4 linked regions of the Canis lupus familiaris genome follow. The protein of the gene in region 1 interacts with the protein of each later gene in a pairwise test. Links are inferred from orthologs where the notes say so. Each region holds a gene or a part of one and is shown in the gene's direction. Other genes may lie near its edges.

The links.
Region 2: the proteins of SATB1 (region 1) and TOPORS interact in a two-hybrid assay, tested with the Homo sapiens proteins (2 studies listed by BioGRID and IntAct). The link is inferred for Canis lupus familiaris from reciprocal best matches to the Homo sapiens genes SATB1 and TOPORS.
Region 3: the proteins of SATB1 (region 1) and PIAS3 interact in a two-hybrid assay, tested with the Homo sapiens proteins (2 studies listed by BioGRID and IntAct). The link is inferred for Canis lupus familiaris from reciprocal best matches to the Homo sapiens genes SATB1 and PIAS3.
Region 4: the proteins of SATB1 (region 1) and PIAS4 interact in a two-hybrid assay, tested with the Homo sapiens proteins (2 studies listed by BioGRID and IntAct). The link is inferred for Canis lupus familiaris from reciprocal best matches to the Homo sapiens genes SATB1 and PIAS4.

The regions. Positions count from the first base shown.
Region 1 is NC_049244.1:25,104,069-25,111,932, forward strand, and holds the start of SATB1 (DNA-binding protein SATB1), read left to right. Parts: upstream 1-3,751; 5' UTR 3,752-3,910; intron 3,911-4,191; exon of another isoform or gene 4,192-5,319; intron 5,320-7,864. UniProt on the Homo sapiens protein: Crucial silencing factor contributing to the initiation of X inactivation mediated by Xist RNA that occurs during embryogenesis and in lymphoma.
Region 2 is NC_049232.1:50,038,203-50,045,471, reverse strand, and holds the end of TOPORS (E3 ubiquitin-protein ligase Topors), read left to right. Parts: intron 1-3,363; coding exon 3,364-6,297; 3' UTR 6,298-6,915; downstream 6,916-7,269. UniProt on the Homo sapiens protein: Functions as an E3 ubiquitin-protein ligase and as an E3 SUMO1-protein ligase. Probable tumor suppressor involved in cell growth, cell proliferation and apoptosis that regulates p53/TP53 stability through ubiquitin-dependent degradation.
Region 3 is NC_049238.1:59,313,382-59,321,291, reverse strand, and holds the start of PIAS3 (E3 SUMO-protein ligase PIAS3), read left to right. Parts: upstream 1-3,367; 5' UTR 3,368-3,445; coding exon 3,446-3,469; intron 3,470-4,014; exon of another isoform or gene 4,015-4,650; intron 4,651-5,363; coding exon 5,364-5,781; intron 5,782-5,929; coding exon 5,930-6,014; intron 6,015-6,253; coding exon 6,254-6,304; intron 6,305-6,554; coding exon 6,555-6,645; intron 6,646-7,160; coding exon 7,161-7,295; intron 7,296-7,526; coding exon 7,527-7,632; intron 7,633-7,910. UniProt on the Homo sapiens protein: Functions as an E3-type small ubiquitin-like modifier (SUMO) ligase, stabilizing the interaction between UBE2I and the substrate, and as a SUMO-tethering factor.
Region 4 is NC_049241.1:55,929,248-55,936,516, reverse strand, and holds part of PIAS4 (E3 SUMO-protein ligase PIAS4), read left to right. Parts: intron 1-2,704; coding exon 2,705-2,789; intron 2,790-3,617; coding exon 3,618-3,659; intron 3,660-3,982; coding exon 3,983-4,073; intron 4,074-4,159; coding exon 4,160-4,288; intron 4,289-4,393; coding exon 4,394-4,499; intron 4,500-6,309; coding exon 6,310-6,383; intron 6,384-6,470; coding exon 6,471-6,631; intron 6,632-7,269.

The DNA.
Region 1 (7,864 bases):
GGATTTAGGAGTTTTAGGGTAGAAAGTTTGAGGGAAGTCTGCATTGATCAGTCTTGTTCAATTTTTAAAAATGTAATGAAGTATATAAAGATGGAATGAATTACTTAGGATTCTCTTTATTTATACACGCGGTATGCAATCAAGCTTTATTTACCCTGTGGTAACTATTCTGTAGATAAAATGCCTTTATGTAGGTAAGTGGTGAGTTCCCCCTCACTCCCTATGCTTGCCTTGATACCCCCTGAAGGTTTGACTGGACAAATTAAGTTCAAAAATACATTCCAACCAGACATCCATCAGGGTGTCTATTTCCTCTGGTCTACAAGAGAAAAAAAAGTATTTTCTCACATATTCTTTTGATTCCATCCATTTACTGATCCATTAAGTTGTCTTTTCACATTTTGATGTCATCTTGCCACCAAACAAATTCCTTGAAGGCCAATACTGTTTTATCCCTCCTTGGCATCTTTCTCACACTATTTAGTAGGCAATATTTGTGGTTTATCCTCCTGGGAAAATAATCAGCTTTTGACACTAGTTACTATTATTGACCATTTGCTATGTCTCCGATTTACTTGTCTTTCAACCATTTAAATCAGATTTGCACTTGTTAAAAAAAAAATCTAGAAGCAGAAATATATTACCCTAATAACTTTCAGGCAAAATATCTTTTTCTTCTGGAAAAAAAAAAAAAAAAAAGGCTTACCCTAGTACTATTGAATTTGTGGCCAATTACAATATTTCATTAACATCTTAATTCAGTAAGTATTTAATGTATTCCTACTATGTGCCAGGAGGCAGGGTTTACAAAAGAGTTTATCAAGTTATGTTACTTAATGCACTGTACGCATCATTACATAATTCTGTATTATAATAGAGCCTGTGAGCTCTCTGTTCAAGACTATTTAGGGGAAAAAAAGCAAATTCAAAAGGTTGGGGCAAAATGTTCCCTTGGTTTAACGCAGGGGAGCATATCACACTTTCGATTCAGGGGACTTACTTGGTAACTCTGGGGAATAAATGAGTGTGTAAGAGTGTGTAAGGGAGAAAAGAACAATCCCTCCTCTTTTTTTTTTTTTTTTTTTTTTTTTTTTAATTTCAATTTCTGTTAAGCTTCATTTCAGCCTTTCAGAATTGGAGAATCAGCTGCCTGCTATAAGAAATTGCTAATAAGCAGTAATTAAAGACTGAGAATTTATTCTTTCCATTCCAAACCTGATGTCATTCCCAGATGGAGATATTGGTACTGGTTAGGCAATTCAGCATTTTGGTAAATTAAGGCAGGAGATTTTGTGTCTCTTGGGTCCTATGGATGCAGAAAGTGGTCCAGGAAGGAAAACTTGTATTTTGTTTTGCCCATGGCATTTATACCTTATTGTTTTGCTTTACAGAACCAGGAGTTGAGGTGGGCACTTCCACCTTAGAAACCAGGGGCTAGTTCTCTAAAATAACACTAATTCATAAACTTTTTATATTCTTATATCTTTGGAATTATGGTCTCTGCATAAAATGACAACTGAAAAAGATGGACAATCCAGGGAATCCAATACCGCTGATAGGAAAGAAGTGGCATATCAGAAAGCAGCATGAATACAAGCGCTATCCTCCTTTATTTAGAAAAACCACACAAAAATACAGCACAGTTGATGTGCTGTTACCAGGACTTGAAAGTAGAATCAACCACTGTGTAAAAGATAAAATAAGACTGCACGAATAGGAGGATTTTCCCAGCGTGCTTTATTCATAGACATCTGACAGAAGAGGACCTAACAGAGCTTTTAGGAAAAACTGAATTCTCAGCCCACAGTCACTTTCCAGGAACTTCACTGCAAACAGTGCTCTGCGCTGGCGGGATGGAGATCTTAGCAATCTCCCTCCTGCTTCCATAGTTTCCTTCTCTCTAAATACAATTATGTATGGGGACTTAATGAGAGAGCAAGCCTTGTGTGAAAGGAACTCAAGAAAGTGCAGCTTCTAAAAATACACCGAGGAGGCTCTACAGTCCTTATTGTTACAAACTGACGTTTTGCAGTTCAAGCTATGAACCTAACAACTACACACACACCGAAGGGGGGAAAAAAAAAGTAGACTATGTTTCCTTTCTGTAATCCCCTTAACTTCGAGTAAACAGTAGTAATTTTCTGTTGTCATACTCAATGCAAATTTCCCAAAGACGACAGAACACAAAACAAAAGACCTGTTTGCTTCCTAGGAGCTGGGTGGGGGTGGTGGGGGGTGGGGGTGGGGGTGGGGGTGGGGGTGGGGGGGGTGGAGGATGGCTGGATGAGAGGGGCAAAGTTGATGGAGTTCTCCTTTTCTCCTCAGCCTGGGGTCCTGAACCTCCAAGTCACTCTGCCGTTGTAGAGGTTTTTGAAGTTTCATTCACCTTCTGGAAAGGCTCCCTTGCCCCTCTTCTCCGCGAGCCCCCCTGTCACTACAGTCTCATCACTTGCCTCCTCCTTTGCTTCCAGCTTCTTGGAGAAACTGGACCTCAGTTTAGGGGTCTTTTCCCTGCGGATTTTAAAGAAGCGGCCGACAGAAGGCTACTGCTTAAACAACCGGGCAGGGGCGCGGGGTTGGGGTCTGCAAGAGCAACCCCGCCTTCTCCTTCCACCACGTGCTCCTCAGTTGGGGTGCAGCACTCCTGGATGGGGTGCAGAGAGGGGCGGGGCCAGGGTGGAGGGCGATGGACCGTGCAGACTGAGAGGGGAGGAGGCCCCCGAAGGAGAGATCGTCTCCACCGAACATGAACGAGAGAAAAAAAAAAAAACTGGCCCACATGCCCCTAGTGGGGAGCGATACACCCCACGCGGGCTGGGTTTGGGGGTGGGGGGTGCGTAGGGCCCGCTCACCTGACTTCCTCCTCCCCTGGCACACACACTGCAATCGCCCGCTTCTCCCCCCCCCCCCCAAAAAAAAGCTCAGCCAAACAACGAACAACAAGAGGAAGCCGCAGGCGGCAAGAGGAGGGGTGCGCGTGGTGGGGGCCCGGGAGAGGTGAGGGGGCAGGGTCGGCGGGCGTCGAGAACCGCGCCGCGCACCCCTCCGCGCACTCCCGGGCGCCCACACTTACCCCCAGCGGCTGAGGGTCCGGTCTTCGGCGCCAATCCCGGCGCGCGCCTCTCGCCCGCCCTCGTCCCTCCGGCCCGCCGCCCCCCACACCCCGGCCGGCGCGCGGGGAGGGAGCCTGGGAGCCGAGCGCGGCGTTGGCGGCGGCGGCGGCGGCGGCGGCGGCGGCGGCGGCTCGGGCTCGGGCTCGGCTCGGCTCGGGCTCCAGCGCTCCGTGCAGCCGGCGGCCGCCGAGGCTCCTCCGCCGCCAGGGGGAGAAGCCGGGGCGGGCGCTGGGGAGGCGGGCCGGGCCCTCGCCGCCCCGCCGGCCAGCCCGCTCGCACCAGCTCGGGAGCGGCGGCGGCGCGGGGTCCGCCGAGCCCCGGGGCGCGGCGCGCGGGGCCGGAGCAGCCGCGGCTGGATGCGCGCCCCGGGGGGCTGCGGGCTCCCGCGGGGGGCGCCCCGGCCGCTCCGGTGCGCCTCCAGACTGCGGGCGCGGCGGCCGCCGAGCCGAGAGCAGCTCCCGCCGGCCCCTTCCCCCCCCCCCCCCCCCCCCCCCCCCCCCCCCCCCCCCCCCCGTTAACATCCCCTCCCTCCCCCTTCCTTCCCTCGGCCCCGCGCGCTCGCCAGCTCGCTCCTCGTCTCGCTCTCCCCTTTAAACGCCCACTTCGGATGGGGAAAGAAGACAACTTGAAGTCAAGTTGCAATTAACTTCCGCGGCAGCCGCAGCTCCGGCGGCGGCGGCACAGGAGGCAGAAGCCGCCGCCTCGGAAGTCCGACGCCGGCGCGCCCGCCCGGGGAGCTGCTCCGGGTCGCGGGCCCGCACTCGACAGCCACCGCCGCCCCCAGCGCCCATGCCTGAGTGAGTGCTGCTCCTTTGCCTCCCTTTCCACCCCCCCCCCCCCCGCGCCCCGTATTCTTGCTCTCGAATCTCTGTCTCTCTGTTTTCGGAATCGATCCAAACTTCTCGGTGGCGCCCACCCCCGGCGCCCCTTGCCGGGCTGCGCGGTGCCCTCCCGCCGACGTCTGGCGGCCGGGGTCCCCCGAGCCCCTTCCCTTCTCGCGTGCGCGGCCGGACCCCGGAGGGGCGGGCGGGGAGAGCGTGGGAGAGCACCCGGGACGGGGGGCTCGGAGATGCCATTCATTCCCTCTCAGGGTGTGGGCACCCTGACACACCTGCCCGACAGACCCAGGCTGGACAAACTCCCTCAGGTCCTCCGTATGACCGCTCTTCGGAGAGAAAAGGGGGAGCCGCAAAGAGCGAAGGAGGCCGACGGGAAAAGGGAGAGGAAGCCTCTCCGTGCGCCCCGGAGCTGGGTTGGCAGAGAGGTGCCCGGCAGAGTAGGCTGGGGGAGCGGGGACGGTCCCCGCCGATCGCAAGTGAGCTCAGCATCCTTCCCCGGTCCTTCTCCTTCCTCCTCCGCCCCCCGCCCGCGCGGCTGCCTGGGAGCGGCGGCCGAGAGGGGCCTAGGAAGTTGGTGGCAACTTCTCCATCCCGGGGACGCTCGGCGCCGGGCGCTCAAGTTGGAGCCGGGATTTTGAAAGCCGCGGCACTCCGCCTTGGAGTCCCCGCCGGAGGTAGTGAGGTGGGCCCGCAGGGGCTCCCGGAGCGACTGCAGGTTTGAAGGAGGGCTGGAAGGCAGGAAGAGGCGCTGCCCTCTGAGCGGGGCTGACACATCGCAGGTGCGGCCTCAGGGTCCGCACCGTGTCTCCCTCCTGCGGTCCCGACCCGAGCGTGGCGGCCTTCTCCGGGCGCTTCCCTGCGGAGGCTCCCGGGGCGGCGGCGCGTGGGTTTGGGCAACCACCGTAAGGGGGACGAAGCAGGCAGGTGGCAGGTGGCAGGTGCGGGGAGCCACACGCGCCCACCGGGGACATGCACCGGGCGTGACTCTTGGGATGACCCCCCAGAAGGAGGAGAGGATCTCAGGGCTTTTGCTGGAGATCTTGGCCCCGACCTCCTCTGGGGCGTTGCAAGTCTCACGTACTAGTGTCAACCACAGGATCGCCTCGTAAAAGTGCCCTGGTTGGCAGCTTTGACCTCTGCGCCCTTCCTCGGCGAACTTTCTCCGCGGCATTCCAGATTTCCAGGCAATTGTTGTAAGACTTGGACTCTACGTGGTTGTATCAGAGACAGGGAAAATTAAAAAAAAAAAAAAAAAAAAAGACGTCCTATTCTCAGGAGAGAACCGTTCTACCCGGACTGGCTGGGGTTCCCTGCTTGCATCCTTGGAGGCCAGGAGACCTGACTTTTCCAAGAGGAACAGAGGAGGGGTAAGAAACAAGTGAAAGGCGACTGGTAGGTGTCAGGTTTTGTCCTCAGCAGTCCCTAAAATCGACTTACTAAGGGAGTAACGCGTGCGATTGAAACTTTATTGAAATTTACACCCTATCTAAAGTGGATTTTTCTGAGGTGTCAGGAATGTAAGATTTATTCTATAGTAAAACGTAGCTGCAAAAGCAAACAACAACAACAACAACAACCGTACTTTAAGGCTGGAAAAAGCCAAGGTTTGAGGTGTTTGCTCTAAAAACCTTTAATCGGCTGTGGGGTACTAATGCTATGATTTAGCAGCAGTCCTTTATTTCTATTGCATATTATTTTAGTGGAACAGTAGTACATTCATATACTGGCTGCTCCAGTCTGCTGGCAAACATTAGCATTCAAGCTTACATTTTTGACAAATGTGCAGACAGGAATAGCATGAATAGGCATCTTAAATATTAACAACCTAAGCATCTGTTGTGAAACAAATTTAATATATTTACTCTGTTTTTCTCACATTGTTAGAAAAGGTTATAATAAGTGCATAATTTCAACTTTAGTTAGCAGAAGTAACTGGCTGTATCTTTCACTACCTCTCCAAGTGTTTAACACAGTCACCAGACATAAGTACTTTAATTAACTTGGTTAGGCACATTGTTAAATACACTTTAGACCTAGTGTATACTATGTAAAACGTAACAGTAGCAAAATACGTATCCTATTTGTGCACATTTTAAGTGACTCTGCATTTTATAAATGTAACAGGCATGTTTATTTTTCATCTCCATTTGACACTTATTACTTCATAGTTTTTCTAATGGAAACAATATTTTAAATGTAGAGCTGTTCAGTCATATGTAATACATAATATGTAAACAGTAGCCATAAAATACAAAGCATTGTTAAATTTAAGTATGGCTACATGTAACAAGATTATACAAGAGAAACAATCACTGTTCAATTTTGTATTCCTTTCTGAATAATGAGTACAAATGATGGGTGAAATAAGAACAGATAAGGATTTCCCTCCTAAAGTACTAACTAGTGCCTTAAAAATCTGTGTGGGGGTGGGGGTGGGGAGAGCAAGAGGGAGAGAAAGGGAAAAAAAGGGATAGAGAAAGAAGACCTAAAGAACTTTCAAAAGTCTGAATAGTTATTTCCAGAATCAATGCATTCCTCATTTTCCCACAAGCTGAAATATGTAATAAATAATAGTTCTTTGTATGTAAAAGTATTCACAAGGAATGCCTTTTGTTTAGTTGTTGTAATAAATTAATATATTCTTTGGTTGATAATCTACAAAAGTAGTTCTTTTGTCTCCCAGCATCTTAAACAAGAACAACAACAAAACGAGTGAGTATTGGTTTATTTCTGCAGAGAAGTCTGTTGCCAGCTATAGGAACCTGTGACTGAATGAGCTATGGTATGCTGAGTGATGGTTAAGAAAGGCTACATTAAATTAGCAAAGACTGAAATATCTGAAGGAGATTTTCAATTATTTTTTCATGTGACAGGTTGTGGATTGCAAATTAGGCCTAAAAGGTCAGGTGACAGGCACCTGTTCCTCATTATTGTAAAAATCTTTTGGTTACAAACACTATTAAGCTAAACACAACATGGATATACAGCAGGGACTCTATAAAGCACTCTAGTGGTTTTTCATCTGCTCTGTAAATTTCCAAGAGGGCCATACATTGATATGCCCTTTACACAAACAAATCATTTCTTCCAAGACGTGTTGTCTTGAATGACTCTTACATTAGTACTTGGGATTGATGAAGTATATAAAATAAATGCATATGACTGAATCAATCTTCAGACCATGTCTAGGCAGGTTGTTATCGAATGCAAAAATATTATTTTTTAAGCCCTTCTTCTTCCTTTACAGCCCATTGTTTACTAGCAGAATTTGCCCATGTTTTAAATAGAAATCTCCCCAAGTTGCCTTCTGTCCTTTTTTAGATGAGTTCCCACTTTAAATAATGCCGTGAAAGATTTTGCTTAATACTTGTGTATAAGGAAAAAATTAGTTGCACTATATACCGTCATAGCTTTGTGGTATATAGAAAATGGGAAGAAACCCACGTTTTACATGAATGCTGTGAGGAAGGGTATCATCATTTGATCTTCAAACTTGCCACCTTTTTCAGGAGAGTTCAGTAATATTTCTATTAGAATTAAAGAGTGTGATTTTATTTTTATGAATGGTTTACTTTTAGATATTTCAGACAGCAGAGTAAGCATACATACTGAACGGACCTAAGGAGCACAAGGTTGTGAAATATTAAAGGTGCCAGTTGTTTTTAATTGGCAAAGGAGGAAGATTTTTGAGCAAATTTGGTAACTCGGATTATTAAAGTCTATATTTAAATATGTGCTTTGCTTTAGTTTTGTATGGTTTATGCTTATTATATTTAGTATTCATTTTTAGCATTTGTGATCAGATTACAGGATAGTCATAACTCTTTGCTTTTCAAATTGATTTGGTTTTCAAACTCCAAAACTCTGGGGTGAATTTAACAAATTGGTTTACCTTTTGACAGAACAGAGTTA
Region 2 (7,269 bases), on another chromosome or scaffold:
TTGAAGGAAAATCTCTTATTTGATGATGTATATGCATTGCCACTGTTTGATGTTTCTGATGAATACTGTTTTTTATATCTAAAGATATTACTATGAGAAATACAACTCTATTTTTTTATATCTTATGGATGTTCCTGATCATTCTTTTGCCCTGTACTATACTGTTGAAGTGGTTAACAGGCTTATTATAAAACTAGGGAAGGGAAGAAAAGTTGTGTTTTTGTTTTTAAGATTTTATTTATTGGAGAGCGAGTGCATGCACAAGCAGGGCCAGAAGGAGAGGGAGAAGCAGACTCCCCGCTGAGCAGGCAGCCCCATGGGGGGCTGGGGCTCAGTCCCAAGATTCTGGGAACGTGTCCTGGGCCAAAGGCAGATGCTTAACTGGCTGAGCCACCTAAGATCCCTTCCCTTAAGATTCCATTAAAAAAAAAAAAAAAAAATTCTACTTAGTTGAGATTTTGTTTTATTTTAAGTTTACTACCTACAAATTTCCTTTAATAAAATGCATTCAGGGTTGTATTTTTTATGTGAACTGCAAATGTTCAGTAAACACTACAGTTTTGTATTTCCATGACACAAATCAAGGTACAATGTATTAACTTTAAATTCACCAGTCTTTTAAAAAAGTCTAATAATCTCTTTATTATATAGAAGGGCAAACTAAAAAATCTAGATTTTATTGAATGTTTCCAGTTTATAGTTTTAGGGGAAACGTGGTCAGTCCAGATTCTCTGATAACCTATCCAGTTTCTCTCCACTCTTCATTCCTTCCCCTAATGTACAGACTCTGTCTGTGATCCTAAAAATTTTTATTTTTAGGCTTTTTATTTCCTGGGAGGAAGAATAAAAATGTTAGAAGTAGGAGAAAATGCCGAGAAATTTAAATATTATTAAGGTTTAGATATATTAATGACAGTTATTATTGTATATAGTTAAATACATTAATGAAAGCAGTTTATTATAATTACATGCTGTTTAAGAGCAGTGGTGATTTCTGTATTTCTAGTCTAGAAAATAAAAGACTAGAAATATTTGGATCCCTGAAGAAACATTTGTTCAGTATTAATTGATTTCCTATTAAGTTATGTCTCTGAGAAAGTTAAGATGCCCTTAGATGAGCAAGTTTAATTTGAAATTTCTGATGAAATAGTTACATTTCACAATCATGAATTTTGTTGTGGGTTTGTTTTTGTTAGAATTTGGTATGGCCAGTTTTTTGGTTTTTTTTTTTTTTTAGATTTTATTTATTTATTCATGAGAGACACAGAGAGAGAGAGAGAGAGAGAGAGAGGCAGAGACACAGGCTGAGGGAGAAGCAGGCTCCATGCAGGGAGCCTGATGTGGGACTCGATCCCGGGACTCCAGGATCACACCTTGGGCTGAAGGCAGGTGCTAAACCGCTGAGCCACCTAGGGATCCATTCCCTGGCCAGTGTTTAGAAAGTTATAATTCCATTAGACTAAATTGATAGCAGTTGACCATTGATGGAACTTTCTATGATAGAGGAGGTAGAGAAAGATGAATAGGCCCAGGAAACCTAAAGAAAAAAATTTTTTTTTTTTTTTTAAAGATTTGATTTATTTTATTCATGAGAGACACAGAGAGAGGCAGGGACCAGGTACAGTGAGAAGCAAGCTCCATGAAGGGAGCCTGATGTGGGACTCGATCCTGGGATGCCAGGATGACGCCCTGGGCCAAAGGCAGACTCTCAACCTCTGAGCCACCCAGTCGTCCCGAAAGAAACATTTTTAATATATACTCAATGATTAATATAGAGTGCAGCTAAAGAGTGATTTATAAGATAACCAGGCCAAAAATGTGATGCATACCAAATTTCAGCTCTGGCAAATTTGCAAGTTAATGGGTTGAGGCACCTAGGTAGCTCAGTTGGTTAAACATCCATCTGCTTTTGGCTCAGGTCATGATCCCAGCATTCTGGGATCAAGCCCCCTGTCAGGCTCTCTGCTTGGTAGGGGATCGGGGAGCCTGCTTCTCCCTCTCCATCTGCTGTTCCCCCTGCTTGTGCTTCCGTGTGCGCTGTTTCAGACAAATAAATCTTAAAAAAAAAAAGGGGGGGGTCAACATAAACTGATACATTTAAAGAAAACAAAACTAATTAAGATTCTAGTGATCCTTGTGGGGAAAAAATAACAAGGGAAGGGCACTGGAAGCATGATTTCTTTTTTTTTTTTTTTTTAATTTTTATTTATTTATGATAGTCACACAGGGAGAGAGAGAGGCAGAGACATAGGCAGAGGGAGAAGCAGACTCCATGCACCGGGAGCCTGACGTGGGATTCGATCCTGGGTCTCCAGGATCACGCCCTGGGCCAAAGGCAGGCGCCAAACCGCTGCGCCACCCAGGGATCCCTGGAAGCATGATTTCAAGAAACATTGTGGCTGCCTTTGGATTAAATAAAAAAGCTCAAAGACTTAGTAATGTAAGGAATCAGTGAGGAATTGAATATAGTAGTGTAACCATAGTATAATAATACTAACAGCAACTAATATTTACACAGCAGTTGCTAGGAGCCAGGAACTATTCTTTGGACACCTTTACATATATTATTTCATTTAGTCCTCACTAAAAGATACTCTCTCTGTGTGAAAGAATCTTCCACTAAAAACTACAGAATTGGTTTAAACAGGTAAACTTTTGGTATGCAAATTATCTCACCGTAGTTATGTTTAAAGGTATACATTCAATATTTTACATAAATAAAGCAAGTCAGTAGTCTATATTGCTCAGGGGATATGTATGCAAGAACTAAAACAATAGATAGAAATAACACCAGCTGAAGACTGTGGTGTTTTTGGTTTTTATTTTCTAGAGGGGGATAGGAGGAGAAGATAAGGGATATTTAAAAAATATTGAAATAGCCATGAAAAAAATGTTGCTAAATCTGAGTGGTGGATACATGGGTACTTGGCAGATTGTGTGTGTGTGTATAAGTATATAAATATATATACCTTTATATATTTATATGTATATAAAATTCTTTTTGGTTAAATTCTTTTTTAAAAGAACAGAATGCTGCATAATATTTGAGAGCTTCCTGGGTACCAGGCACCTTTTCTAAGGTCTTCATAAACCCTGTGATGCAGGTTCTATTATTGCTGATACATAGTCACACCACTGGTGTGAAACCAGGATTCAAACCCAGGAAATATGTGACTTTTAGAGCTTGTGTTTTAAGTACTATATGACTATGTTACACTCTCCCTTCATATTACAAGGTTAATGAGCTACTCAGCTATTTTCACCAAAGTATGTTTCACAATCATTTATTTGAATTTTTTTTTTTTTCAGATTTTAGTCTGTTCTTTTTTTCTGGTTACTGATGTATTTTTTTCCCTTTTACAGATAATGGCATCAGCTGCTAAGGAATTTAAAATGGACAACTTTTCACCTAAAGCTGGTACTAGCAAATTGCAACAGACAGTACCAGCTGATGCATCTCCTGATTCTAAGTGTCCTATATGTTTGGATAGATTTGATAATGTGTCTTACTTAGATCGCTGTTTACATAAGTTCTGTTTTCGCTGTGTACAGGAGTGGTCAAAAAACAAAGCTGAATGTCCACTATGTAAACAGCCCTTTGATTCTATTTTCCATTCTGTGAGGGCAGAAGATGACTTCAAGGAGTATGTCCTAAGGCCTTCATATAACGGTTCTTTTGCAACCCCTGATGTTCCACGATTTCGCTATCGTACAACTATGACAAGAGATCGAAGTGCTTCTGTTTATTCACCTAATAATACTATGAGTAGAAGAACAACAACTCCACCAGATAGTGGAGTACTATTTGAGGGGTTAGGCATTTCAACAAGACCTAGAAATGGTGAAATTCCTCAACTTATGAGACAGATTGCAGTAAGGAGGCCAACTACTGCAGATGAAAGATCTTTGCGGAAAATTCAAGAACAGGATATTATTAATTTTAGACGAACTCTTTATCGTGCTGGCGCCCGTGTTAGAAATATTGAAGATGGTGGTCGCTGCAGGGATATTTCAGCTGAATTTTTCCGTAGAAATCCAGCTTGCCTTCACAGATTAGTCCCCTGGCTAAAACGTGAACTTACAGTTCTTTTTGGAGCTCATGGATCTTTAGTGAATATTGTCCAGCACATCATCATGAGTAATGTTACTCGCTATGACTTGGAAAGTCGGGAATTTGTGTCTGACTTAAGACCATTTCTGCTTAATCGGACTGAGCATTTTATACATGAATTTATCAGTTTTGCTCGATCTCCTTTTAACATGGCAGCTTTTGACCAGCATGCTAATTATGATTGCCCTGCTCCTTCATATGAAGAAGGTAGCCATTCTGATTCTTCAGTCATAACAATATCTCCTGACGAAGCTGAGACTCAAGAGTTAGATATCAATGTAACCACTGTTAGTCAGGCACCGTGGGATGATGAAACTCCAGGGCCATCTTACTCAAGCTCAGAACAGGTACACGCTGCCATGTCTTCCCTTTTAAATACTTCTGATAGTTCAGATGAAGAACTTGTAACAGGAAGAGCCACATCTCAGATACAAGGAGTACAAACTAATGAAGACCTCAATAATGACAGTGATTCTTCTTCAGATAATTGTGTCATTGTTGGGTTTGTTAAACCACTAGCTGAGAGGACCCCAGAACTTGTTGAACTGTCCTCTGATTCTGAGGAGTTAGGCTCTTATGAGAAAATGGAGACTGTGAAGACACAAGAACAGTCTTATAGTTCTGGTGATAGTGATGTTAGTAGATGCTCATCTCCACACTCTGTCCTTGGAAAGGATGAGCAAATAAATAAAGGTCATTGTGGTTCTGGTAAAAGAATCAAGTCAAAGAAAGAAGAGAAGCACTCTACATCATTGTCATCTCCCAGAGACCTGAGCTCGTCTATCAGAGGAGACAGGGTATATTCCCCATATAACCGTAGACACAGGAGGAGGGGAAGATCAAGAAGTTCAGATTCTCGTTCCCAGAGTAGAAGTGGGCATGATCAGAAGAGTCGTAGAAAGCATCATGGGAAGAAAAGGATGAAAAGCAAAAGGTCTAGGAGCAGGGAGAGTAGCAGACCTAGAGGTAGAAGAGACAAGAAGAGATCAAGAACCAGAGACAGCAGTTGGTCAAGAAGAAGCCAGACTCTCTCTCTCAGTAGTGAAAGCACAAGCAGATCAAGATCTCGTAGCAGTGATCATGGTAAAAGAAGATCACGGAGCAGAAATAGAGATCGTTATTATTTAAGAAATAATTATGGAAGCAGGTATAAGTGGGAGTATACTTACTATAGTAGAAACAAGGACAGGGATGGCTATGAATCATCTTATAGGAGGAGGACTCTGTCCAGAGCTCATTATTCCAGACAATCTTCAAGTCCAGAATTTAGAATTCAGTCCTTTTCTGAAAGAACAAATGCTAGGAAAAAAAATAATCACAGTGAAAGGAAGTATTACTACTATGAAAGGCACAGATCAAGAAGCCTGTCCAGTAATAGATCAAAAACTGCATCTACAGGGCCTGACTGGGTAAGAAATGAAAAGCCCGGAGGGAAACGAAAATACAAAACACGGCATTTGGAGGGTACTAATGAAGTGGCTCAACCTTCTCGTGAGTTTGCTTCTAAAGTAAAGGAAAGTCATTACCAAAAGTCCTCATCAAAATTGGATGGCAACCACAAAAATGAGAGTGACAGCTTTTCAGACAGCCGATCATCAGACAGAGAGACAAAACACAAAAGGAGAAAAAGGAGGACCCGGAGCCTAAGTGTAGAGATAGTTTATGAAGGCAAAGCTACTGATACAACTAGGCATCATAAAAAGAAAAAGAAGAAGCACAAGAAGAAGCATAAGAAACATCATGGGGACAATGGTTCACGTTCGCCAGTTGTAATTACCATTGACAGTGATAGTGATAAGGATTCTGAAGTAAAGGAGGATACAGAATGTGACAATAGTGGTCCTCAGGACCCTCTACAAAATGAGTTTTTGCCTCCTCCCTTGGAACCATTTGAAGCTAAAGATGTAGTTACAATAGAAGATGAATTTGGCATCCTAGACAAGGAGTGTAATATTTCCACACTTAATGACAACTTGAATAATGCCAACAAAACTGTGGATGATATTCCACCCCAGGCAGCTTCGGTTGAACAAACTCTTGATGTAAGAGAAGAGAGTACTTTTGCCTCTGATTTGGAGAACCAGCCCAGTAATGTTGCTATTCACACTGAGCCATCAAGGCAGTTGCCGTCTCCACGGACATCGTTAATGTCAGTATCTCTTGGTAGAGACCACGATATGTCTTAAAACTGCCAAAGCATCTCATTGAGAATTCTGATGGTATAAAAAAAAAACAAAAAACAAAAAGAACAGTGTCATCTACTGCAGTCTATTTAAAGATGACTTTTGGTGAAAACTCTTAGCCCCTTAAAAATATTTTAAGTAATTTTTTTTTGTGTTAAAAATTTGTAAAAATCATTATTTGTTCAAAAAGTATGTATGTCCCACCCTCAGAGATATGCACTTTTAAGTGAGGAAAATGATATTGCTAGCAGTTTATTTAAAACTTGGGATCCTTTTTAAATAAAAAAAATATAAATTTTAGAAGTTATTTCATAAAGCCATATGGTATTGACATATTTTTAAAGTAGTCAATGAGTATTTTTGAATTTTTTTTTTTGAGAGTTATTCTGGAAATGTGTTATAAGCTAGGAGAATCCCTTTGGACAGTTTATTTTTCTTCTTAAAAATTTGTATGATTCAAAACCATTTCTTCAGGTTAAATTGAGGCATTTTAATCTGCACAGTTTGACACCTGCCAAAAGAAAAATTTAAATATTTCCTTTATATACTTGTTTATCTGGACTGCCAGTAAAACAGATGTGTATTCAACAAAATAAAAAATAAAACAGTAACACTTTAAAACAAGAATCTAGAAATTTTCCTACGCAGTATTGCCTTAAAAAAAAAAAAAATCGAATTACTTGAACTACTTAGAGGAGCTAAAATCTTCAAAATAGTTAAGGGTATACTTGTTAATACTAAATTTCAAGTGATCTGCATTTTAATTTAGTTCTTTAATCTGATTATGAGGAATATCTTCAGCAGAATGCAGCTATGTAGCATTTAGCTTACTAAAAACAAAAGATCCTTGCCAAAGTTCTTTTACATTGGTACTTACACACAAAGTAATTATGTTTATGTTTTATTCTGTTTTAGAAATGACAAATTGCTCTCCATCTATCCTAAAATAAGATTGCCAGTGAGTAACAGAACTTG
Region 3 (7,910 bases), on another chromosome or scaffold:
GGACAGCCCTGGTGGTTCAGCGGTTTAGCGCCGCCTTCAGTCCAGGGTGTGATCCTGGAGACCCATGATCAAGTCCCGTGTCGGGCCCCCTGCATGGAGCCTGCTTCTCCCTCTGCCTGTCTCTCTGCCTCTGTGTGTGTGTGTGTGTGTGTGTGTGTGTGTGTGTGTGTGTCTCATGAGTAAATGAATAAAAATCTTAAAAAAAAAAATAAAGGAGATCCCTTCTTGGGGTGCCTGGGTGGCTCAGTGGTTGAGTATCTGCCTTTGGCTAAGGTGGTGATCCTGGGGTCCTGGGATCGAGTTCCGCATTGGGCTTCCTGAGAGGAGCCTGCTTCTCCCTCTGCCTATGTCTCTGCCTCTCTCTCTGTGTGTCTCTCATGAATAAATAAATAAAATCTTAAAAAAAAAAAGAGCCCTCCTTTACAAAACCATTAGGATTCAAGCTGAGGTTGACATTCTTTTTTTACTTTTACATTTTTACAGCTTTAATGAGTTAGAATAATTGACATTCAATAAATGCATGTATTTAAAAGTGTACAGTTTGGTAAGTTCTGACATATGTATATACCCATAAAACCATCACACAACAAACATATCTGGGGCCCCTGGGTGGCTCAGTCAGCTAAGCATCCTCCTTCAGCTCAAGCCAAGATCCTGGGGTCCTGAGATTGAGCCCCACATGGACTCCCTGCTTAGCCGGGAGCCTGCTTCTCCCTCTCTCTCTCTGCCTCTGCTCCCTTCTCGTGCTCTCTCTCTCTCAAATAAGTAAATGAAATCTTTTTTTAATAAAAAGATAATGAACTTATCTATCACTCCCAAAGAATCCCCCCTTCTCTTTTTTTATCCTCTCAATCGTCCTTCTCTCCAAATCACTGAAATTTCTATGAGATATACAAACTAATTCATAGTAACTTTTGACCTAGAGGACTGAACACAACAACAACAACAACAACAACAACAACAACAAAAAACAAGCTCTGGGCCTGATGAAAACTCAAGTGTTGGAAGGGGCAGTTGGTATTTTTTTTTTTTTTTTTTTAGATTTTGTTTATTTGACAGAGAGAACAAGTAGGGGGAGCAGCAGAAGCACACGCCCTGCTGAGCAGTGAGCCTACTGCAGGGCTTGATCCCAGGACCCTGACCTGAACCAAAGGCAGAGACTTAACCAACTATGCCACCTAGACACTCTGGCAGCTAAGACTTAGAATCAAATACTTGAGCTTGAGTTTAGCTTGGTCTTACCTGGGAGTAGGGAGTATAGCAACAGGGAAAGAACCTGAGTGTCAGGAGAGGGTACACATCTTCCCTATGGACAAAATCCACAAAGTAGTTGGTCATGGTCCAATTCAACAGGTATCTGAGGAGGTTGCTAGGCTGGTACCTTCATTCTTGTGGCTTGGGTAGGGTCTCATGGGAAGGATTATACTGAAGGTTTAAGCTATATGAGAGGGTTATTCATGTTATTTATTATTATTTTAATGCCAATTATAGGTTTAACTGTCTTGCTGCCACTGCTAGACCAAGAGCTCCTGAAAAGCTTTTTATCTCCTCAGCACCTAACAATCTCTGAACAGCATTCAAATGTTTGTTGAACAAATGACATAATGGCTTAGGTCCCAGCCAACTAACCTAAAATGCTGAGTTTTTCCAGTATGTAGTTTGGGTAAACTGCCCTAATTTTGGTGCTTGAATTGGTACCTGCATGTGAGTGATCAGCCTGGTTGAGAATGGCCTCTCTGGGGATGCCTGGGTGGCTCAGTGGTTGAACATCTGTCTTCAGTTCAGGTCATGATCCTGCGACCCCGGGAATCGAGTCTAGTCTCGCATAAGGCTCCCGGCAGGAAGCCTGCTTTTCCCTCTGTGTCTGTCTTTCATGAATAAGTAAATATATATATTTTATTATTATCTTTTATTTATGATATAGAGAGAGAGAGAGAGAGAGAGAGAGAGAGAGAGGCAGAGAGAGAAGCAGGCTCCATGCACCGGGATCCCGACGTGGGATTCGATCCTGGGTCTCCAGGATTGCGCCCCGGGCCAAAGGCAGGCGCCAAGCCGCTGCGCCACCCAGGGATCCCTATTTTAAAGAGAATGGGGTCTCTGGAAGGGCAAAGGCTTTGGAAGAAAAGTAGGCAATTCATAGACGGGCAGAAAGACGACTGTTTTGGGAAGAAAACCTCCCCTCTGTTCACCTTCAGCCCCACCAAAGGCGTGGGGTCTCCGGCGACGGTCTGAGTATTTGGGGTAGGGGGTGAGGGACCACAGGGAGACTTGGGGCTTAGGTCCACTTTAGATTCTAGCAGCCCAGGCTTTCCCCCAGGGAGAGGAGTCTCGTTCCAAGTAGGAACCTCTTCAGGCGGCCAAATCCCAGTCGGCCCGGCCTTCCTCGCAGCATGATCGCGCCGGGCGGGCAGAGCAGCGCAAGGGGCCGGAGCAACAGTGAGCAGGTTGAGTCCCCAGAACGTCCTCCCTTCCCACCCGTTGGCTCACGCACCCTTTCAAGGAGTTAAGCTCCGGGCGCGGGTCTCGGAGCCCCTCCCCTCCCCGCTTCCGACCCCGCCCCCGCCCCCGCCCCCGCCTCCGCGGTCCTGGCGGGCTCACCCGGAGGGGGCGGCCCCAGCCCCAGCGCCGGGCCGGGCGGAGCTCGCGTCCGGGCGGAGCTGCCGCTGCAGCGTCCAGCTGCCGGACCGACCGACCTCCAGCCTTGCAGCCCCCCCACCTCCCCGGCCCACCCTCCGAGCCTCCCGAGCCCCCTCCCCGCTCCCCGCAGCTGTGCTGGTAAGTCCCGCTCGTCGCACCAAACTTTTTTGCTGCGGAGTTTGAGTCCTGCCGCGGGACCCCAGGCAGCACTGTAGTTGGTTGGCCGGGAGGGGGGTGGGGGTGGGGGTGGGGGTGGGGGTGGGGGGCGAGGAATCGAGAGCAGCCGTCCTGACCGTCACCACTGCACAGCTTCTCCGAAGCGGGTCAGATCTCACCCGTTCCCCGAGTTGGTAGAACTCTTGACTTGAGCTGGTTAAACTCGTCGAGGAGGAGATGACGGTGTCTGCTCCAACTTCGCCACCCCTCCCCCATTTCTCTAAGATTGAGCAGTTCTCGCTACTTTCCCCCCGTATTTCAAGTGTCTCTGGCTCTCTAAAAGCTCACCCCCTCCCAGTCCCGGCGTGGCAGAGCCCTCCCTCGGGCGCTGCGGGCCCGCCTCCCCTTCCTCACCCCCGGGGACCCTCCGCTCTGGCACCCCAGCCGGAGCCGCGCAGGGGCTGGGTCGGGCGGAGGGAGGGGCCGAGGCCGGGGCCTGTCCGGAGCCGGGCGGGCGGGGCCGGGAGGGGAGGCGCAGGGGCCGGGCGGGGCGGAGCAGGCGGCCTTTGCGGCGGGCGCCGGGGTGGGGAGTTGCGCGCCGGTCCCTGGGCCTGGGCTCGGGCTCGGGCTCGGGCGCCGGCGATGTCTCAAGATGGCGGAGCTGGGCGAGTTAAAGGTACCGGCCCCCTCCCCCAGCCCCGTGTGGACTGCGCCCGCGGAACGCCGAGTCTGGGAGGCGACCGAGCCCGGGTGCCGAGGGCTCGGCGGGGGCGGGGGGCGCGGAGACGTGGCGGAGACCGGCTGCCCGAGCGGGAGCCGAGCGGCGGCGGGAGCGGACCGGGCTGCCACGGGCTCGGGGGCGGGGCCGCGGGGCAGATGCAGGGGTGGGGCCGAGGGGAATTGCCGCTGTCGGGGGCCGAGGCGCAGGGGGCGGGGACGCGGGGGTACGGGTCGGACTCGGTGGTCGGGGCGGGTGCCCGAGGAAGGCCGAGGTCCCAGCTGCCGCGGGGGCGCGGGGGGCGAGTCACCGAGGCCGCGAGACGCGACAGTAGGGGGCAGATGCGGGGCTGGGACGCGGGCAGAGGTGCGGAGGCGCCCGCGCGGTGCCGCCGAGGGGATGGCAGCTCTGGGGCTGCCGCGGGCTTCCGAGCCTCGGGAGCACCGCGGGCGGCGGAGATCCCGGGGGCGGGGCCGCGCGGGCTGCGGGTTCGAGGGCGGCGAGGAAGCCGCTGCCCTGGTGGATCGGTCTTTGGGCTTAGGTACAGGAGTGTGAGGCTGTGGGATGGAAAGGGGACGTTCTTGACAAAGCTAACGGAGAACTGAAAACCGGACAGAGGAAATGAGGGTGGGAGAAAGGTAGATGGGCCAGTTTTTCACCGCATTCCTCAAAAGGGGCCCGAAGCCAGGGAGGCTCCTGGGAGGGGGCGACTCGTGGACGGCTGGCAGAGCCCGCCCGTGACAGGGCTCCCGGGGAGTCACGGAGGGTGTCCTTTTGCGAGAGAGCGAGCGTGTGGTGCCCGCCTACTGCCACACAGGCTTGAGGGTACCCCTATCGGAGGACATCTCACAGAACCTTAAAAAAACCACTGGGTTCATCCCCCTGCCTCCTGGCTTTGTTCTGCCTTTTGAAATGGAGCCGTAGTCTTTGGCGGGCTAGTCCCTGGGTCCAGCTGCCCCAGGAGAACTTGCAGGTCTGCCCCCAGGCTGGGAAGGCGCCCCAGCCTTCTCATCTCCCCAGGGCCCCTGCTTACAGCTTAGCCCTCTCCTCTCCCACGGCTATGGGGGGGGGGGGGATTACTTATTTTCTCTATGTAGGAGAGAAACAGGATATTAGTTCCTGGCAGATGGAGTAAACAGGTAAACAAGAAAGTAACCCTGGACTGGGTGATTTACTATGAACCCCTTTGCCCCAAGTTTTGGTCGCTTATCTCCTAGAAGAATAGGACTGAGGGAAAGGTGTTGATGCTTACAAAGGATTTGGGGGGAAGTTACAAGCATTGAACCCTGACCTGAAAACCCTGGCCACAGACGCTTCAGAGGCTTGGGGAAAATAGCTGAGGTGGCTTGAAGTGTTGGGAGGGGTGTGCCATGGTGCACAATCCTCTGGCCACCTGCCCCCTTTCTTCCCTGTGGGGCTGTCTGGCCTGATTCCTCTTCTCCCCCTCCTTCTCCCTGTCTCCTACCCTCTTTCCAGGAGGCTGGGTTGGGTCTGAGAGTCTGAGAAAGGGCAGGAGAGGAGATAAGCTGCTTAAAGGAGCGTCTAGGCTCAAGGCAGGGTTGGAAGTAGGAGGCCACAGTGGACTCGGAGGTGTGCCTGTGGATGGCTTGCTGCCTGCACCCTGCCCCACCTGGCCAGCTTACAGGCACGGGGAGATAGGGTTACTCAGGCTCTGGGGGGGGGGCAGTGGTAAGGTTGACCTGAGGGCTGCTGAATGGGACTGAGATGTCCCTTTGGCCAGATTGGCTGTCCGGCTGTAATCACTGGCTGCAAAGCATATTTCTCTTGGGGAGGGGGGCGGGGGAGGCACTGCCTCTTTGGCAGTATTCTCAAATGTCTCTGTTCTCTGCAGCACATGGTGATGAGCTTCCGGGTGTCTGAGCTTCAGGTTCTGCTGGGCTTTGCTGGCCGGAACAAGAGTGGACGAAAGCACGAACTCCTGGCCAAGGCCCTGCACCTGCTCAAGTCCAGCTGTGCCCCCAGCGTCCAGATGAAGATCAAGGAGCTTTATCGCCGACGCTTTCCCCGGAAGACCCTGGGCCCCTCTGATCTCTCCCTCCTCTCTCTGCCCCCTGGCCCCCCTCCTGTCGGCTCCCCTGGCCCTCTTACTCCCATTCCCCCTGCCCTCTTGGCCCCTGGCACGCTGCTGGGCCCCAAGCGTGAGGTGGACATGCACCCTCCTCTGCCCCAGCCTGTGCACCCTGATGTTACCATGAAACCATTGCCCTTCTATGAAGTCTATGGGGAGCTCATCCGGCCCACCACCCTCGGTATGGCTCTGCCTCCTCCATCTTCCTGAATCTTACCTCTTGCCCAAGCCTTGGGCTTTAGTCCTGTGGGATCAGTGGCCTGGGATGGGGGTAGCGTCTGTGGCTGCCTGTCATGGGCTCAGGAGTAACTGCTCCTTTGTATCCTCAGCGTCCACTTCTAGCCAGCGGTTTGAAGAGGCACACTTTACGTTTGCCCTCACACCCCAGCAAGTGCAGCAGATTCTCACATCCAGGTACCTCTCTTCCCACCCTCCTACCTCTGACCTGGGGTGGTTATCCCGGGACTCTGCTCTCTGCCTTTCTTCTCGTCTGTCCTCGTCTCCTGCCTGTCCATCCTTCTGCACCTGTGTCATCTCTCATTCTCTTGTGCATCTCTTCTCTATCTCTGGGACACGTAACTGTTTCTCTGTCTATTCAGCCTGGCCCTCTGGGGGCCACATCCTGACATGTTTCCCTCTCCTCCCTGTCATAGAGAGGTTCTTCCAGGAGCTAAATGTGACTATACTATCCAGGTGCAGCTCAGGTGAGTTGATCCTCCCGCCTCCTTCCCTGCTGGGCTTCCACTGGGGGTGGGAATGAAATAAGGGTATGTCGGACACTGCTAGGAGATAGCCCTGCTGTGCTACGTCCACCCTGACCCTGGGACTCTTGTGGGTGCTGAGGGCTACAGATACAGAGATCTGTGACTGGCTGACTGAGGTTCCCTGCCTTTCTGTCAGCTTCAACTCAAGAGACTACCTCCCCCACCCTTTCATCTTTTCTTCTCTTACCAGATTCTGTCTCTGTGAGACCAGCTGCCCCCAGGAGGATTATTTTCCCCCCAACCTCTTTGTCAAGGTCAATGGGAAACTGTGCCCCCTGCCGGTAAATGCTCTTCCCTTCTTCTGGCAGTAACCCCTTCCCTCTTTCAGTTCTTAAATGTTAAATACAAACGTATTAATGAAGAGATGTGTGTAGCACAGTGCCTGGTACATAGTAGGTACTCAGCGTATTGAGTGATGGATACAATCTAGAGGATACTAAGATAGGGTTGATGCACAAGGGTTCTGTCAGAACCCAGAGGAAGCACATCAGTTCAACCCAAAGGTTCAGGGAAGATTTCTCTGAAGTGATGACCTCAGAGCTGAAAGTTAGAAGTAGTGGGGCAACCCTATTCTTCCTCCTCAGGAGCTCAGTGAGTGGGTTTCTATTTCCCTGGTCAATAAATAAGCTCTCCTTTCTCCCCAGGAATGAACCCCACACACAACCCTAGATAGTGCTTCAGTTTTGTGAGTCACTGAATGGGTCCCCATGTCCCTGGTCAGTGAGTGAGCTGGTCTTCCTTCCAGGAAGTGAGTAACCTGAGACAAGATGTCTTGACCAGCCCCTCCCTTCCCTAGGGTTACCTTCCTCCTACCAAGAATGGGGCTGAGCCCAAAAGGCCTAGCCGCCCCATCAACATCACACCTCTGGCTCGACTCTCAGCCACTGTTCCCAACACCATCGTGGTCAACTGGTCATCTGAGTTTGGACGGGTGAGCAGGGCTGGGGCAGGGAGCCTGGAGAAGCCTGCAGGGGGTGAGGGGCATCGTCCAGTGTCCTGGGTTGGGAAAACATCTTCCTCTTTATGGGTCTTTCTGCCTTAACCCGTTGTCTCTGATCCTCATGGGACAAAGGATTGGGGTGGTGGTGGTGGTGGTGGTGGTGGTGGTGGTGGCTGCGAGGAGCAGAGCAGAGGCTAACTGTCTCCCCCTACCTCCAAGTAGAACTATTCCTTGTCTGTGTACCTGGTGAGGCAGTTGACTGCAGGGACCCTTCTACAAAAACTGAGAGCAAAGGGTATCCGGAACCCAGACCACTCTCGGGCACTGAGTAAGTAACATCCTGCCCCTCTTTCCCGCTCTGATTTGGATCCAAGTCTTCCTGGTCCTCCAGCTTTTAAAACCAAACCCATTCCCCTCTTGTGACAAGTATCCCTCACGTCTCACCTGAACCCCAATCCTCCCCCTATCCCCTTACTAATCTTCATGGTTGAGAAGTTAGCGGACTCCCAGGCACTGAGTGATATCCTTGCATTCTCAGTTATACATCTGCTTTGCACCTCACAGACCCTGTCTCCAGCCCTGCTGGGATATGGCTTCTTTAGACTG
Region 4 (7,269 bases), on another chromosome or scaffold:
TCTGTCTGCTGTTCTGGAGCGCATCTTCACCAGACCAGGTCGGCGGGCACTTAGGTCGTCAGTCATCGGATGGAAACCGTTCTGAGTACTGGCTGCCCGCGGGCCTCGCCCATCCGTGGTGTGTGAGCACGCCTGCAGTTGGGCTTCTAAGAACAGGCGGGCCGCTGTGTCCCACGCTGTGTGTTGGTGTGGGCAGATGGAGTGAGATGGCCTGCCCTCCAGGCTTCCGTTCCTGCCAGCCACGTCTCATCCAGTCTTGCGATCAGGCGGCTTTCCGGTGTCATTGGTTAGGTTTTTTAAGATTTTATTTTTGAGTCATCTCTGCACCCAACGTGGGGCTTGAACTCACAACCCCCACCCAGGATTGAGTCGTACGCTTCCCTGACTGAGCCAGTCAGGCACCCCTATTCAGCATAGGTGTATTTTTAAGTTGAGGTATAATTTATGTACGGAGTCCTGCTAAGTGAGTGTACCCCAGGAACCCAAACACCAGCAAACGGAACATACCCGTTATGTAAAACCCCTCGCCCCCCTGCCCATCCCTCGCCTCCCACACTCCCAGAGGCAGCCCTCATTCCGGTTCCTGTCACTGTGGGTTAGCTGTGCCCATTGTGGACGTGGCCTAGCACACGTGCAGCGGGTACTTCTGGGCATCTGCCGACTGTGGTTCGGCACCCTGACTTTTAGATATGCCTGGGCGCTTGTCTAGGTCATCAGTTTTATTTTACTGTGTGAACCTACCATTGCTTGTTTATCTGTTTTTCCATTGGCAGGCATTCAGCAGTTTCCAGTTTAGGTCTCTTCAGGAATAAGATTGCCATGAGCGTCCTCGTGCAAGTGTTTGTGTAGACCTATTTCCATTTATATGGGGGACAGATACCTAAAAGTGGGGTTTCTGAGTTACTGGGTAGGTACATGTTTAACTTTGTTAGGAATTGCCATACAGTTTTCCAGAGGGGTTGTGCCTATAGCAGAGAATCCTGCTCGTTCCGCATCCCTGTCAGCACTTGGAGTTGTTGCTCTTTCCGTTTTAGCCATGCTAGAGGATGTATAGGGGTTTTAGACCAATGTTGCATTCCTGAGCTAAATCCCAAGGGCCTGGATGTTTGCTGATATTTTCTAAAGAATTTTTATGACAGTGTTCATGAGAAATGTTTATAATTTTCCTTTCTTGATATTGTTTTGTCAGGTTCTAGAATCAGGGTCATGTCAGCCTTGTAAAGTGAGTTAGCAATTCTTTATTTTTTGAAAGTTCATAAATGTTTATATGGTTTCATAAAAACTTAATAGAACTCACCAGTTGGATCTGTGATTTTCTTGGCAGAAAAGTTTTTATTTATTATTATTATTTTTTAAAGATTTTATTTATTCATGAGAGACACAGAGAGAGAGGGAGAGAGACAGGCAGAGGGAGAAGCAGGCTGGGTCTCCAGGATCAGGCCCTGGGCTGAAGGTGGCGCTAAACCGCTGAGCCACCTGGGCTGCCCAGAAAAGTATTTAATTTTGAGTTCGGTTTCTTTAACTGGTAAAGGGCTTCTCAAACTTCCTTTATCTTTTGTTGCTAGTTTTGGTCATTTGGATCTTTGGAAGAGTCTGTCCATTTCATCTGAGTTTTCAAATTGATTGCCATAAAATTGTTACATTCCAATATTAAACCAAAAGACCATGGGATCTGTACTACTGTCTACCTTTTCGTTTCTGACAGTATGTATGTTTACGATCTTTTTTTATTGCTCATTCTAGCTAGTTTATCAAAGAACTCTGGCTTGATTTTCTCTGTTGCTTTCTATTTTTATCTTTAGTTTCTTTCCTGTTAATGACTTCATTCTTAGTTTGCTCTTCTTTTTTTAGTTTTTTGTGGAAGAAATGCAAGTTACTCATTCAAAACCTTTTCCTGTGTTTTTTAACAGAAGCGTTTAAAGCTATGATTTTGCCTCTAATGACTGTGTTAGCTGCTTCCCCCAAGTTTTGGAGCACTGTATACTCTCATTCAGTTCAGAGACTTTCTGATCACCCCAGGGGTTCTCGATGCAGTTATAACTAAGAGTGGAGAGTCAGCTTGTCACCACATGGTCTCCATCTGCTGGCAGATGTTCCTCTACTTCTGCACCCAGTGGGTGCTTTGGGATGGCTGGTGTGGCTCTGTATGGTGTTCCCTGCTGCCCTCATGCCTCCCACTGTGAGCTGGGCTGTTCCGTGACTCTTGTTTTGTGCACTTGGGAGATTCACTGTTTCACTCCTATCTCTGCCACTATTGGCCATGGATGACCGAGGCAGGACCTCTGTCCCGCGGGTGCCTGGAACAGCCATACAAGGTGCGGCTAGAGTTGTTGCTGGCATCTTACAGGCTCCGGGTGAAGCAGCTGGCCCAAGGGCATGCAGGCTGTCCCACTGTGTCCTGCCGAGCCAGCAGGCTCCTTTCCCTGAGCCCAGGGCTTCTCTGTCTTCCTTAGAGACCTGAACCCCAGAGAGCCATGAAGGCTGCTGCTTCCCAGGGCCGTTCCAGGGTTGGGGGTGTTCCCTGAATCGGAGGCACTTCTTCCTTAGAGGTCTTGCTTCCATCCCACAGGCCCAGCTGCCTGAGTGAGGCTCAACCTCCTGTTCCCAGCTTCCCAGTCTAAGGAGGGACTGGCCCATGGAAGTGGATGTGGCTGGCTTCTGTACCGGGGACCAGGGGCAACCCTGACTCTGCGTTTATCTTTAGTTCCACAGAATAATGAGAAGCTTCAAGAGAGCCCATGTATCTTTGCGTTGACGCCAAGGCAAGTGGAGCTGATCCGGAATTCCAGGTGCGCTGCTCCCTGCACCCCTGCTGGCCTCCATGGCAGGCAGTAGACTGCATGGTCTCGGGCCATCTAGAGGGCTGGGCTAGGGAGCCTTCAGTAGACCTGCTGTAGACCCTGTGCTCCGCAGGAGGGAAGCAGAAGCCCTGCCCTCTGTGCTCAGCACTTGCCATATGTCCCGGGCTTTGTGCTCAGTCTGCGTGCTCATACCATTTTTGACCTGCAGCCCCCAGAGGTGGGCTGGTGTACCCTCCCCTTCAGTGGGGCTCCCCTTCGCACTGTTGGTTTTGGAGCTGGGTCACTCTTTGGAGTGGGGTGCCCCAGGCACCCTGAGGGGCTGAGCAGCATCCCGGCCCCCTACCCCTACCCCGCCCCCCACTGGACGGTAGGAGTCCCCTTTGTTGTGAGAACCACACCTGTCCCCAGGCACTGCCTGGGGTCCAGCAGGGGCAGGATCGCCCTGATGAGGACACTGAGCCATAACAGTTGAGGGACAGAGGCCATTGTCAGTCCTGCTGTCTGAGGCCCTTCGATCTCCAGCTGAGACCGGAATCACCACTGGAGCAGCCATTTGTTGGCCCACTTGGCACATGCCAGGCCTGAGTCCACCAACTGACTTAATATATCCCATGGACATCCCCCCATATGTACAAAGAGAGGAGGTCATTTGCCCAATTCACCAGTGAGTAAACAGGAGGGAATGTTGTAGTCAACAGCCATTGACCTTCGGCTGCCAGGGAAGGTAGCAGGTGAAGGGAGCAGCCTGGTGGGCCGAGTGCTCTCCTGCCTCACTGACCCCTCTTCTCCTCCCCTCTGATTCCTCGGCACACACAGAGAACTGCAGCCCGGGATCAAGGCCGTGCAGGTCGTCCTCAGGTAAGCCCAGGCGGGCCTGGACCACTGCTGGCCGTAGCCCCGTGTCCTCCCCGGGTGCACCCCTGTCAGGCCCCTCTCCCTCCTGGCAGCTTCTCTTGGGCTCCTCCCTCCTCCTCTTCTCTTCCTGCCTTCTGTCCTTGCTTGTGGACAGGACAGGCTCGCTCAGACCAGATCCGGAGCCCGGAGAGCCCCTTGTGCCATCCAGAACTGTGATCCGCCTGCCAGATGGGCTCTTCCACCCTGGCCCCGCACCCATCTGCCTCTCAGGGCCGCCCCTCTGTCCAGAGCCCCTGCTGGCCTCACGGTCCACATTGTTGTTGCAGAATTTGCTACTCAGACACCAGCGGCCCTCAGGAGGACCAGTACCCACCCAACATCGCCGTGAAGGTCAACCACAGCTACTGCTCAGTCCCGGTGAGTGGGACCTCCTGTGCGGGATGGGGCAGAGAGCCTACAAGGGAACATTTTTCTGAGGCCTGAGCCCCCATGTCTGCTTCCAGGGCTACTACCCCTCCAATAAGCCTGGAGTGGAGCCCAAGAGGCCCTGCCGCCCCATCAACCTCACCCACCTCATGTACCTGTCCTCGGCCACCAACCGCATCACCGTGACCTGGGGGAACTACGGCAAGGTGAGTGGGGTGGGGGTGCTGCCCGCCTGTCCCCCCCACCACCACTGCCGCCCTCCCACAAGCCCTGCCTGGGCCTGACCACCCCTCCCCCACCTCTGCCCCCAGAGTTACTCCGTGGCCTTGTACTTGGTGCGGCAGCTGACCTCTTCAGAGCTGCTGCAGAGGTTGAAAACCATCGGGGTCAAGCATCCAGAGCTGTGCAAGGCGCTTGGTGAGCTTGTGGGCCTGTGTCACCCCAGGGGGTGTGGGAGGAGGGGGGCTGGGCAGCAGAAGAGCCTGCGAGGAGGCCCTGAGGCAGGGCCGTGAGAGGCGGGTCCCCCAGCCCAGTGAGCCGGGGTGCTGAGAGGCGGGGGCCTGGGGCACAGGCGGCCAGGGCAGACCCGATTCACTGCTGCAGGTACGGGGCGGTGATGGAGACCAGACTGGCTGTGTTAAGGGGGCCGGGGGGACAGCGAGGGCTGAACGTGAACCACCAAGGACGGGCAGACAAAACCAGATCAGTTTCTCCTCTCGTGTCTGTGTCCATGGTGGCTGTGTGGCCTCGGGCGAGTCACTGGCCCTCTCCGGTGATGCTCCTTCTGACCAGATCTCACAGTCCTGGGCCGAGGGACCTGGCAGGGTCTCCATCTGACCTCTGGGGACACTTGGCGCAAAGTGGCAGGGCTCCCGCCTGTGTACCCCACCCCAGCACCTCCCACTTCCCTCAAAGAGCTCTTTCTTCATAAGCGCCCCCCACCTGTCCGTCTCCCTGTGGGTACAATGCCGGACTTGACCAGAGGGTCAGGTGTTAGCCTGGGGGCAGGCAGGATTCAACCTCGGCCCACAAGGTGGGGCGTGGAACTCTGGGAGGGGCAGGGGCCGCAGTGCTGTTGGGGGCAGTGTGTATGGGATGTGGGGCCCCTGCTTGACTCCGATGGTCCGGTTTCCTCTCTGAAGCCAGCCTCAGGCCAGGCCACTGGGTTTCTAGTTGCCGCGGGAAGTCCTGTAGTTGTCTCACCGGTAGCCCCAGCCTTCTGTGTCACGGGGAGGGGGCCTTGCTTCAAAAACTGATGTGCCTGTGTCATCATTGGCATTTCACCAGAGAGGCGAGTCCCGAGGTGGGAACTCACATGGAGGTGTGAAGGGCTGATGTGGCCTTCGGGACAGCTGGGGAGTGGGGTGGGGATGTGCCAACCCTGTGGGGGGAGGAGGAGGGGCTGCATGGAGGAAGGAGGGGCAGGTCTGCGGTCAGTCTGTCCTCTGGGCGTCTGTCGGCCGGTTTCCCATTCCCACGGAGAGCAGAACAAACGCAGACAGAACGAGCCTGAAAGGGTCCAGAGGGAGGGAGACCCCGCAACTCCTTGCGGGTCCACCCCAGGTTTTGCTCTGCATGCGTTTTCTTCTAGTTTTTCCTCTAGTCTGTGTTCACAGTTGAGAAGGGGGCCTTGCATGTTGTTGCCAGCATTTTCCATGAGGCCTCTGGCTTCAGGCGCCGGTCAGCTTTTACTTAGTTGGGTGGACTTGGTCACGCAAGAAGCTGTGCTTGGGGGCTCGCTCGTGCCCTGCAGGGTTTGGGGTGTTCAGGACAGGAGCCTTGGTCGTCCTCGCCCCACATGTGGTGCGGAGCCGTCAGGACCGTTCCGAAGCGGCCCGTCTCCCTTCTTGCTGAATCAGGGATCGTTTGTGTGGGATACACAGTTGTGGTGGACGGCCCCGTGGGCTCCCATCTTTTTCCCAAGAGAGGCCTGGGGCTGTGGAAATGTGTAGCAGGGTGGGCTTGTTGGGACGGCCTGCCTCGTCGGCATGCCAGGTTGTCCGGAATAACCAGCCGCTGCCAGGACGCTTCCACAGGTGACCCTCGCAGCCCTGGCTCTGGCCCCGAGATGTGCATCCCAGCCTCCTGGGAGGTGGATGTTGGGCTGCTCCATGTGTGCACCGTCTTACCCTGGCGTCAGCAGGTGCTAGAAAAATTTGCCTCTTGGCTCCGACCCCACAGACGTCTCTGTCCCTTGTACTAACGACAGCCATCCCCTTCTCTGCAGTCAAAGAGAAGCTGCGTCTGGACCCCGACAGCGAGATCGCCACCACCGGCGTGCGGGTCTCCCTCATCTGCCCAGTGAGTCGGGGTATGCCCGCGGTGTGGGGCCTTCCAGGGTGAGCAGTGCGGGGCCGGGGGGCCGCTGACGCCACCCCCTCCCCGCAGCTGGTGAAGATGCGGCTGTCAGTGCCCTGCCGGGCGGAGACCTGCGCCCACCTGCAGTGCTTCGATGCCGTCTTCTACCTCCAGATGAACGAGAAGAAGCCCACCTGGATGTGCCCCGTGTGCGACAAACCAGCCCCCTACGACCAGCTCATCATCGACGGGTGAGGCTCTGGGTGGCCCTGTGTGCCCCCTGGGGCACCTGACTTTCTGGGGAGCCCTCTGCTTGGGGAGCCCTCCTTGGGGCAGGGAGCAGCAGGGGGCTCTTCGGGGCCTTGGCTACAAAGGTGGAGGCTGTTAGCTTAGGCGCCCTGGGCCCAGAAAGCCCATGGTGCTTGTGACCCCCTAGATCTGGAGCCTGCTTTCCCCCCGCGCTGAGCAGCAGCCCTGGGAAGCCTCAGCCTCACGGCCACTGCACAAGCCAAAGAGCTGCTTCCCACACAACAGTTAGCCTGGTCTCCGTTATACCCCCTGTGATGTTTTCCCAGGTGGCGCCAGTGTGCAGCCAGGCTGTCCCCGTGACCTAACCACCAGGTCCCCCCCACAGTGCCACGGAGTGGAGGGGGGACAAGAGGAAATAGGCCATTCTCCCCAAAAGGGAAACTGCTCAGGTCTTAGGTTCCAGAAACTGAGCCCAGCACCTGACCGAGCAGCTCCTGCCAGGCGCCAACCACACCCATGTCCTGTCCCCAGAGCTGGGGGGGTGGGGAGGGAGAGAGGCCGTGGCCAGGCTGGGTCTGTGGCCACACGCTGCACCTGGCAGTCCGTGAGGGCCCAGACGCGTGTTGCGGGGGGTATGCCT